2 linked regions of the Arabidopsis thaliana genome follow. The protein of the gene in region 1 interacts with the protein of each later gene in a pairwise test. Each region holds a gene or a part of one and is shown on either strand. Other genes may lie near its edges. The genes, in order: MBD6 and AT1G20870.

Region 1 (4,385 bases):
AGAGTCTAAGCCATGGAAAATAAAAAGCAGAGACCTTTTTTTTTTCTCAATTTTCTTCTGCTTGGTGAATCACAAAAATAGTGTGTGTTTTTTTTCCGTTTGACTCTTAAGGTTTTCTCTTCCTCCCCAAAATTGCTTTTTGAAGAGACAGACCGTCGCAGCAAACTCAGTGGCAATACTGTAAATTTTAATAAACAGAGAGGGGAAATGATAGTCAAAAGCCAACAAAACTTAAAACCTTTTCGTTTCACTTTTTTTCAAAAGCTTGGGATACAAGACTAATAAGGAAGCCTCTGGTACACCTAGAAGGTTACAAGACCAAAAATTACTAAATTAGACGATGGGTTGGGAGAGTTCCAATGGCCTTTTTGATAATTTATTGCAGATATTAAATGTGCTACAACCAGTTACATTCGAACCCCACAAATTGTTTGGTTAACAAAATCTAAAATTATGTTTGGGAAAAATATAATTGCGTCTGCCGGGAGTCGAACCCGGGTCTATTGCTTGGAAGGCAATTATCCTAACCGTTGGACTACAGACGCTTCTTGTCTTGTATCAGTGCAGTATTGTTGATGTTTCTTCTTATCCATTAGATTTAGATAACCTGAGCAGGTGAGACATGTCAAGCATTAGTTCTTGAATTACGACACTGGTTTCACAAAGAACAAGATCTTTTCCTAAACACAAAGTAAAAGACTTTGGAACACAGAATAGTTCAGTATCAAAATGTCTAAGAAGAATAGCTTTGTTACTACGACAGTGTCTTCAATTTCATCAGTCAAAAGTCGAATGGTTATCACGTTCCAAAAGCAAACACAAAGATGCATATCCCCTTATCATATTCTTCCAAAAACCGCTACAAAAATTATAGTACACATAACTTGATGATTGATGAATGAAGACTAAACAAGAATTATCCAATTAAGTAACCCTAACATATCTGTGTATCTTACCATAGATGCAACAACCCAAAAATCGCCACCAGGTCATCATAGTCTTCAAGCCGACACTTTACTAGGGTTTCGGCTTGTGATAAAGGTAAACGCAGTGCTCCAATCTCGTCTCACTGAGTCTTGAACCTTGACGTCCCCAATATTAGGTATCCAACCTTCTTCTCCTGCGTTTGCCATAGACCAGCTTACCTTGTCTGGTGGATTCTTAAAATCAAAGTCCAATGGCGGTGGCGGAGGTGGAGGCACTGTAGCGGTTCTGGTGACTCTATTGCTTCCTTGGCCTTCAAAATGCTGCAAATGCAAAATTCAATACACATCACAGGTTTGAAACCAGGGTGAAAGGTTTAATCTTTAAGCATGTAAACTCACGTCTGGATTGAAATATGTATTCTCAGCTTTCTTGGTGCCTCTTTTAGAAGTTCCATGTTCCAAGTAGTACAGCACCTCAGTCCTGGACCGAAACTTACGTCCTGTATTTGGTTCGTAATAGTACTGCAAAACCAGATAAGAAAATGTCACAAGTCTACACATCAATATCTACACCCATATTAGCATCGAGTATAACAACACCAAAACTTCATCTCTTCAATCACAATATATACCAAACCAAACCATCTAAATCCACCTGATAAATCAAAGTAACACTAATCACACTGATAAAGTGTATGATTCAAGTCCCAATACACCATTAACATAATCTAAACAAACTCATTAATGCTTAAGCAGAACCAACCACATCATTTTACTACATCATTACACTTGTCACTACTTTAAAGGCAAGATTTTTAAACCAAAGAGAACAAAACAACAGCAATCAAAGAATCCTCAATTTGTAGTCTTCAAGCAACAACGCAGCTCAAAACTTCATAGAGAAAAGCAGAGTCAAGCTGAGATTCTTTACCTTATCCACCGAACCAGCTGTGGCACCGGAAGTTCGAATCTTATCTTCAACTCTCCAACCAGGAGGCAACCAATTATCTCCAGGCGCCGCACGCTTCCGCGACTTCGATTCCGTCTGATGATTCACCTGATCAGTGCCGTTAGCCATCCCGATGCGTACGCTCTCTCCCGAACCAGAAATTCCGATTCCTCCCTGAATCGGTCGTCGTTTCGCACTACTGTCTAGGGTTCCGTCACCGGCGGAGGAGATGAAGGCTCCGGAGGCGAGAAGTGGATCGGGAGGGAAATCGCCGGCCACAGAATCTGACATACGAATTAGGGATTTGTCTTCACCAATGAGCAATGAGATCGCAGATTTTAACGGCGACGATCTCGAGAAATGGATTCTCCGTCGCAGCTTCTGTTTCTGGGTTTACGATTCGGTTCGGTTAAACCGAGATCGAATAAGAAATTAAAATTTAGTTAACCATCAACAATTCGTTTCTTCTTTTCTTTACCAACAAACATAATAAACACGTTTTATTACTAAATGAAACATTTAAACTCATCTTCTCATCACTAATCCATCAGTTTAACATTTTGTGTTGTGTTTATTGACACTTATTAGACCACATCCATTTAACCGAGTAATCTAAGATTTAGTGAGTTTCGACAATATGCATTTATATGTCACAATTGTTTGTACTAGATCAACATTATGGAGCTTGTTTTGTGTTTGATACGGATGTCTTTGAAGTATATTAGTCACAATTGTTTAACCATCACAAAATCTCTTTTGAGTAACAAATAAATTAAGTTTAAAATAGAAAATATAATAATTGAAATTAGTCGCTTATATATAGTACATTGGGAGTGGAAATTGTTTAAAGAAAAGTATGCTTAGTTGAAAAATTAACATAGAGAGGCTATTCAAAAAAAAAAGGATAAAAGAGAGATTAGAAAATATAATGGAAAAATGTGGCATTTGGTAGTAATCTCAATGTTTTTAACCTTCTGTCTTTTACTTTTACTTCCGTCTTCGTTTGGTGATCTTAGGAACTGTGATTAGAAGCATTTCCTATGCACTATTGAGGGTCCAGATTCATCGTACTCTGCTTTCGCAATCCACATCTGTCAAGTTTTCAAACACATACCAATATTTATATCAAAACAAACTTATGAATGTTATATTATACATGATCAAATAATAATAAAAATGTATATTAATGTGTTCACCTGCTGGAAAGTGCTGAGTGAAGCCAATATAGAGCCACCGATCCATACACTGTACTTCCTCTCCGGTGGAGCCACGACCTTAATCTTCATACTACTTGGAGCCAAAGCCGTAATCTCTTTGCTCATTCTATCACCAATCCCTCCAAACATTGTGGTTCCACCACTTAGCACAATGTTACCATACAAGTCTTTCCTAATATCCACATCACATTTCATGATAGAGTTATATGTGGTTTCATGGATTCCTGGATTTTCCATTCCGATCATTGACGGCTGGAACAGAACTTCCGGACACCGGAACCTCTCTGCTCCAATGGTTATCACTTGTCCATCAGGAAGCTCGAAGCTTTTCTCAACGGACGAGCTTGTTTTGGAAGTCTCTAGCTCTTGCTCGAAGTCTAGAGCAATGTAAGAGAGCTTCTCTTTCATGTCTCTAACAATTTCACGTTCAGCAGTTGTGGTGAAGGAGTATCCACGCTCTGTGAGGATTTTCATGAGGTGGTCCGTGAGGTCACGACCTGCTAGGTCAAGACGTAGGATTGCGTGTGGGAGAGCGTAACCCTCGTAGATTGGTACCGTGTGGCTCACACCATCTCCAGAGTCCAAAACAATACCTAATCAATAATTTGCAAAAGAACCAATTAGGGTTGTCCATAAAAGCATAACCAAATAGTCCTTAAAATAGTTCATATTATTTAAAATCAAGCATGAAAAAAAACTGGTTATAGATTGGATCAACACAAATATAAGTGTGTTACTGACCAGTTGTACGGCCACTGGCATAGAGTGAGAGAACAGCTTGAATGGCAACATACATAGCAGGAGTATTGAATGTCTCAAACATGATCTGAGTCATCTTCTCACGGTTAGCTTTCGGATTGAGAGGAGCTTCGGTCAAGAGAACCGGATGTTCTTCAGGGGCAACACGAAGCTCATTGTAGAAAGTGTGATGCCAAATCTTCTCCATGTCATCCCAATTATTAACAATTCCATGCTCAATTGGGTACTTCAGAGTCAAGATACCACGTTTTGATTGAGCCTCGTCTCCAACATAAGCATCCTTTTGTCCCATCCCTACCATCACACCCGTGTGGCGAGGACGGCCTACAATGCTCGGAAAAACCGCTCTTGGTGCATCGTCACCCGCGAATCCGGCCTAAGCACGGGATATATTTTTGAGTAGTCGTTTATGGCATAGCCTTATATATATGTGACATAGCAATAAGAGTCTTAGAGAGAAACTTTACCTTAACCATTCCAGTTCCATTGTCACAAACAAGCGGTTGAATGTCTTCACCGTCCGCCATTCTTCAA
Region 2 (4,990 bases), on another chromosome or scaffold:
GTAGCCGAGAGCGGGTAATCACCACCGATACCTAAACCAAGAAAGAACCGGAAAAAACCGAGGCTAACCATAACACAAGACCGACGAGTGGTGCACACGGAAAAGCCACAACCAAAGGAGCTAAGGATCATAATAATCAAACAAAGTCCGTAGACTCGGCGACGACCGACTCGGTCACCGAGGTAACCGAAGACTAGTTGACCCGTGGCTGTGCCGAGTAAAGCGATGGCGTAAGAAGTTGAAAGAACGGCTGTGTTGATTGAGTCACCGTTGTAATAAACATGACTAATCATTTTCATGACCGGTGCTATGCAGAAAAGATCGTATGCGTCGGTGAATAGACCCATTCCCGCTACTATGATCGCTTTGAAATGGTACCATTGTGTTCGAGCTACATCAAGCGACGACAATACCTTTATCGGCATCGTTGGTTTTTTTATCTGAGATTCCGAATCCAGAGCTTTTTTTTTTTTTTTTTGCTTCTTTCCTTTTGGTTTGTTATATCGAAATTTCGAATTCATGATGAGTGAAACAGAACAAGGATCTTTATAACGATTAATAAGTCTCTTTGTCATTTTCATTACTTTATTGGTATGAGCATGGAATATGCTTATGATTTTGACTCCGAGGAAGACTTAGTCAGTTTGTTTGTAAGAGCTTCTTTTTATCTATGTTGTCACATTAAGGCACAACATCATAATTGTTTGAATTTTTCTAGCCAAATTAAACCGTCGGTTCAGTACTGTTTTAGTTTCGGTTTGATCACTTATTGAGAAATGAGAACAGTAACTACTAACAAGTAACAGCAACACTGCCAACACAGAAACAATATTAACGGATTCTCAGTTTGATGAAATCATTGTGAAAACGGATATTTAGCAAAATCATGCAAAATCTACAGAGTCACGTCCTAAAAGTAAAAGATTTATCCTTGCATGCTGTTTGATTCGCTTTCCTTCTATGTCCAGTAACATAAAGATAAAAGATCTACATAGATCCTAAGTTCTAAACTTGTATAGGAACCTCCGGTTTAATTAAGAGTTTTTGTGTCGGATGATGACTCCCTCGAAGATACCATCTGATCGGAAGTTAGGAGAGAATAGCCGCGGATCAACTGGTCCCGGGAGGTTAAAGCACAGCTTGAATGGTCCAGGCGGACACAGCTTCCGGATATTCATCTCGAACACCCGAGAATGTCTCTTGATATTTTTTTCGCCTCTTGTAGTTGATCCCTCCAGTATAACCTTTCCATCTGATTCAATCTCACAGCTGAATTCACCTGCACACAAAAGGACCAAACCAATTCATGTGTTAGCACTTAGACCCGATGTGGCGTGTATGGAAGTAGTTAGATGTGCAACAAAGTGTAATAATACCGTAATCTTTGCGGACACCGGGCAAAGCAACCTGAAAAAAGTAAGCAACCTTGTTGACACCAATGTCAACAACACCAACAGATGATCCTAGAGTTTCTTTACTGGCTGTTCCAGTAGTTACAACCGACGGTTCTGCATCGCTTTCCTTCATCTCCGAAGAAAAAGGTATAGGCTTATCTGTTTTTTCTCTTTCCATAAGAGTTTCACCATTCTTGTTTGTTGCCTTTTTTGATGAGTTCTTGAACCGTCTTCTCTTGTATGTCTCACGAAATCTTTCAGGGGTTTTACTCGTTCCACTAACAGCATGACCAGTAACTGCTTCTTCTTCCTTGTTCTTTCGCTTGCATGTTTCTGGAAGCTTTACAAATGAATAGTAGTCTTGGTCAGAGACAATTCCACTGAATGCAGATTCTCCGTTTCTTGAACAGTCCTGCTTCATTCCCTGGCTTTCTGGTATGTCTCCCGAAAGTCTTTCTGGTTCACTGATTACGCAACTAGCAACCGCGTCTTCCCCTTCCTTTCTCTTGCACGTTTCTTGAAGCTCACCAGATGAATTGTAGTCCTCGTTAGTGACAACTCCATTAGCTGTCGCATCACCATTTCTTGAACAGTCCTGCTCAGTTTCCCGGCTTTCATCCAGATTAACCCGAGGAGATAAAGACGTGACTCTATCGATTTTCAGGTCGTCCAAACGCGACAAGCATCTGAACCTTTGGAGTTCTTCCTTGTTTATGAACCCTACTGCAGGATCATCAATAACAACAATTCCTTTCACAATCTCGTGGCTCGGGGAATACCTTTTCTGCGGGTGAAGATTCGTCGGGAAAAAATGCGTGAACTGAGGAAACTTTCCACTTGGTTCCAATGGTAGATATCCCTTGAGATACATATAAATCATGTCTGGATGAAGAAGGAGGCTGGACTTGGCGTTTCTGAGTACATTATAGTACAAGTTCTGTAGCTGGGAAACAGTTAGAGAGGAAGATCCAATGTGCATCAAAGTGTAAGGTGGCAAACCTCTAGCTAATCTTTGAGAAGATGAACATCTTGGGTTATCAGAATAGACATCAGGACCCAAGTAGTTGCTCATGATGAAATTAACCAAGAAATACTGATCACTCGATAATCCGTCGCTATACAGACTCATATCTTCGATATCAATGAACCTGCATTACATATGAAAGTGGCAACATTGTCACAAATGGAAGCAATAAGGACATTCCAAAAACATAGTTACAGGACATAATTAAGTGTCTCAAATTTGCCAATTTAGTCATAGCATTGAAAATCTCCATCATTTTAGTCCCTAGATCTCTTAAGTTTAACCCTTTTCTAACAATGACTTTAGTCTCCATAATGTTTTGCCTTATCATTACTAAGGAGAAAACATCTTCAAATTAAACCCTAAAAACTTCACTTATTAACAGCAAAATCTACATTTGAAAAGACTATGTTGATATTTTGAGAAAGATTAGTAACTCTGCTTCATATATACTCTTCACAATACAAAAAAAAAAAAAAAACCAATTTTTACCCAGAAAATATCGCAATCCAACAATTTTTCACTAGTTAGCTCAAAGTCAACAATTTTCCTTAAATCTAAAGGTTACTACGCTTGAATACGAACCAGTTTGTACTTTTTACAGCAAAAATCGATCCCACATTGTTCCCACCACAGAAGATAAATAGGGATTATGCAATTTCAACCTTACAAGTCCAGCGATTGTGAAAATTCAAGCAACATTCATGGAGAAAAAACGAGAAGAAATTCGAAGCTTAAGCATGACAGAAAATTCTCAGTGGCAGATTTTACCTTTTTTAATTTCGTCGTGATGTTTTTGGGTTGAGGAGGATGATGGAGGTGAAGAGAAGAGAGATTTCTCTGCGAGAAAGAAATGTTTGGTGTAAGGAGAAAAATGCAAAAGAGGATGGGGGTCCTTTGCTTGCTACACGTGGCTACCACGTGGGTCCCGCAAATAACCGCATTTGGAGGTATCACTTGTCACCTGGCTCACCACGTGCCGTCTTGTTGAAGCACTTTTGGGCCTTTTAAAAAGTATAAGGCCCAAATGTTTTGTATGTCTTATTCTCATTGATAAAGCTTATTCTTTTAAACGAGAGGAAGTTGTAGGAAAATGGGAACATTAATCTTGTTTGTGCTGACTAAACTATCTCTAAATCAGTTTTCTCGGACATCAAAACATCATTACTATGCCACTACCTCATTATGTAATCCTTTTAATTATGTGTTGATCAATTTTTACTTTGATGGATCAAAGAAGGAAACGTAATTACATCCACCCCCAAAAATTGGACTCTTTAAAAATGGTTTAAATGACGATGAATTTAACTAAAAACTCGAATCTATCATCTTGAAAGCAAGTGGTAAACGAAGTGATAAATGGAGTATAAACAGAGGAATCAGAGTAGAAGATAGGAGTCATAGACAGAAACAATTGAGAAGAACAATTTATCAGTCTAGAAACTGTACAGACATAGAAAAGAGAAGAATCCTGGAGCTAAAATTTATGCACAGACAAAGAAGCTGAAGTGAGCTCCATAGTCATTAATTTTTTACTTACAATGCAGAGGACTTGACTCAAGAGGACGTGAGAATCTACCTAGTAATATTACCAACACTCATATGCCTTAAGAGAGTGTGTAGTAAGAAGACTACTTTTACCACCCAAAAGAATCAGATGTTGATTCCACCATTCTATATGCATTTATGTATGTGTTTATATATATATGAACTTTCTTTGTACACCAAACTTATTCCTACCAGTTTACCGCGAAAACCCTTGTTTCCGGGGTGAAACTATTCATATAGTTTATGCCATCAAGCTTGTTGTGGGCTATATACATAGGATGAGAGGGTTAAAGATAACAGAAGCACAAACCCTGAAACTTCCATTCTCCTTTCCCCCTTTTTTGACTTCTTCAGTGAGCAAGACTACTTAATACCTGTAACGACGGTAATGAGGTGAGATCGAAAACATTTGCAAGTACTGAAACTTAAAAGGGCACCTAAGGAAACAAGCTTACCTCTAGAATGCGAAAATAAATAATGTGCTAAGCTTAAACAGGAAGCCTGCCAGAGTAGCATTTGTCCTGGACTTCTTCCCTTTTCTGCAATCTTTAAGGATTACTAACTGAAAACCGATAAATAACAATGAGGTCGTGTAAGTGTGTACGAACTTCAATCCAATTTGGACCATCAAAAAAGAATCCAAGAATTTGCTTACGTTGATCACCCTGTTGTCTGATCAGAACCGCTACTCTGTATATACTGAGGAGGAGTCTGGACGATGACACGTTGGTGCGTTGGAGCTGAAGGAGAAGGGTATGGAGATTGAATAGCAGACATAGGTGAAGTGGCACCAAGCTGTAGAACATGACTTCCTGGATGTGAATAACCTTGACCCGCTGTATAACCGTGAGCACCAGGAATAGTATGGCTCAGTTGCCCATATTGATAACCCGGTGAGTTAACTGCCCCAGGTACTCCATAAACCTGAAGGTACTGTTGACCCATGTAAGGACCATAGAAACCCTACAACACCATGAAGAGAAGACATGAGTTTATAACTAAAGCCACAACAGTTTAAAATGCA

Evidence for each region.
Region 2: the proteins of MBD6 (region 1) and AT1G20870 interact in a two-hybrid assay, tested with the Arabidopsis thaliana proteins (one study listed by BioGRID).

Annotation. Positions count from the first base shown.
Region 1 is NC_003076.8:23,950,102-23,954,486, reverse strand, and holds MBD6 (methyl-CPG-binding domain 6), read right to left. Parts: upstream 2,356-4,385; 5' UTR 2,167-2,355; coding exon 1,858-2,166; intron 1,449-1,857; coding exon 1,326-1,448; intron 1,248-1,325; coding exon 1,002-1,247; 3' UTR 780-1,001; downstream 1-779. Other genes in the region: ACT4 (actin 4), read right to left, coding at 2,901-2,966, 3,072-3,685, 3,834-4,227, 4,319-4,378. UniProt on the Arabidopsis thaliana protein: Transcriptional regulator that binds CpG, CpNpN and CpNpG (N is A, T, or C) islands in promoters regardless the DNA methylation status. Plays probably a role in gene silencing. May associate with histone deacetylase proteins (HDAC).
Region 2 is NC_003070.9:7,258,253-7,263,242, forward strand, and holds AT1G20870 (HSP20-like chaperones superfamily protein), read right to left. Parts: upstream 3,229-4,990; 5' UTR 3,190-3,228; intron 2,543-3,189; 5' UTR 2,524-2,542; coding exon 1,377-2,523; intron 1,280-1,376; coding exon 1,035-1,279; 3' UTR 771-1,034; downstream 1-770. Other genes in the region: PHT1;8 (phosphate transporter 1;8), read right to left, coding at 1-581; AT1G20875 (uncharacterized protein), read left to right, coding at 3,229-3,429; AT1G20880 (RNA-binding (RRM/RBD/RNP motifs) family protein), read right to left, coding at 4,627-4,929. UniProt on the Arabidopsis thaliana protein: Acts as an anti-silencing factor that prevents DNA hypermethylation and gene repression.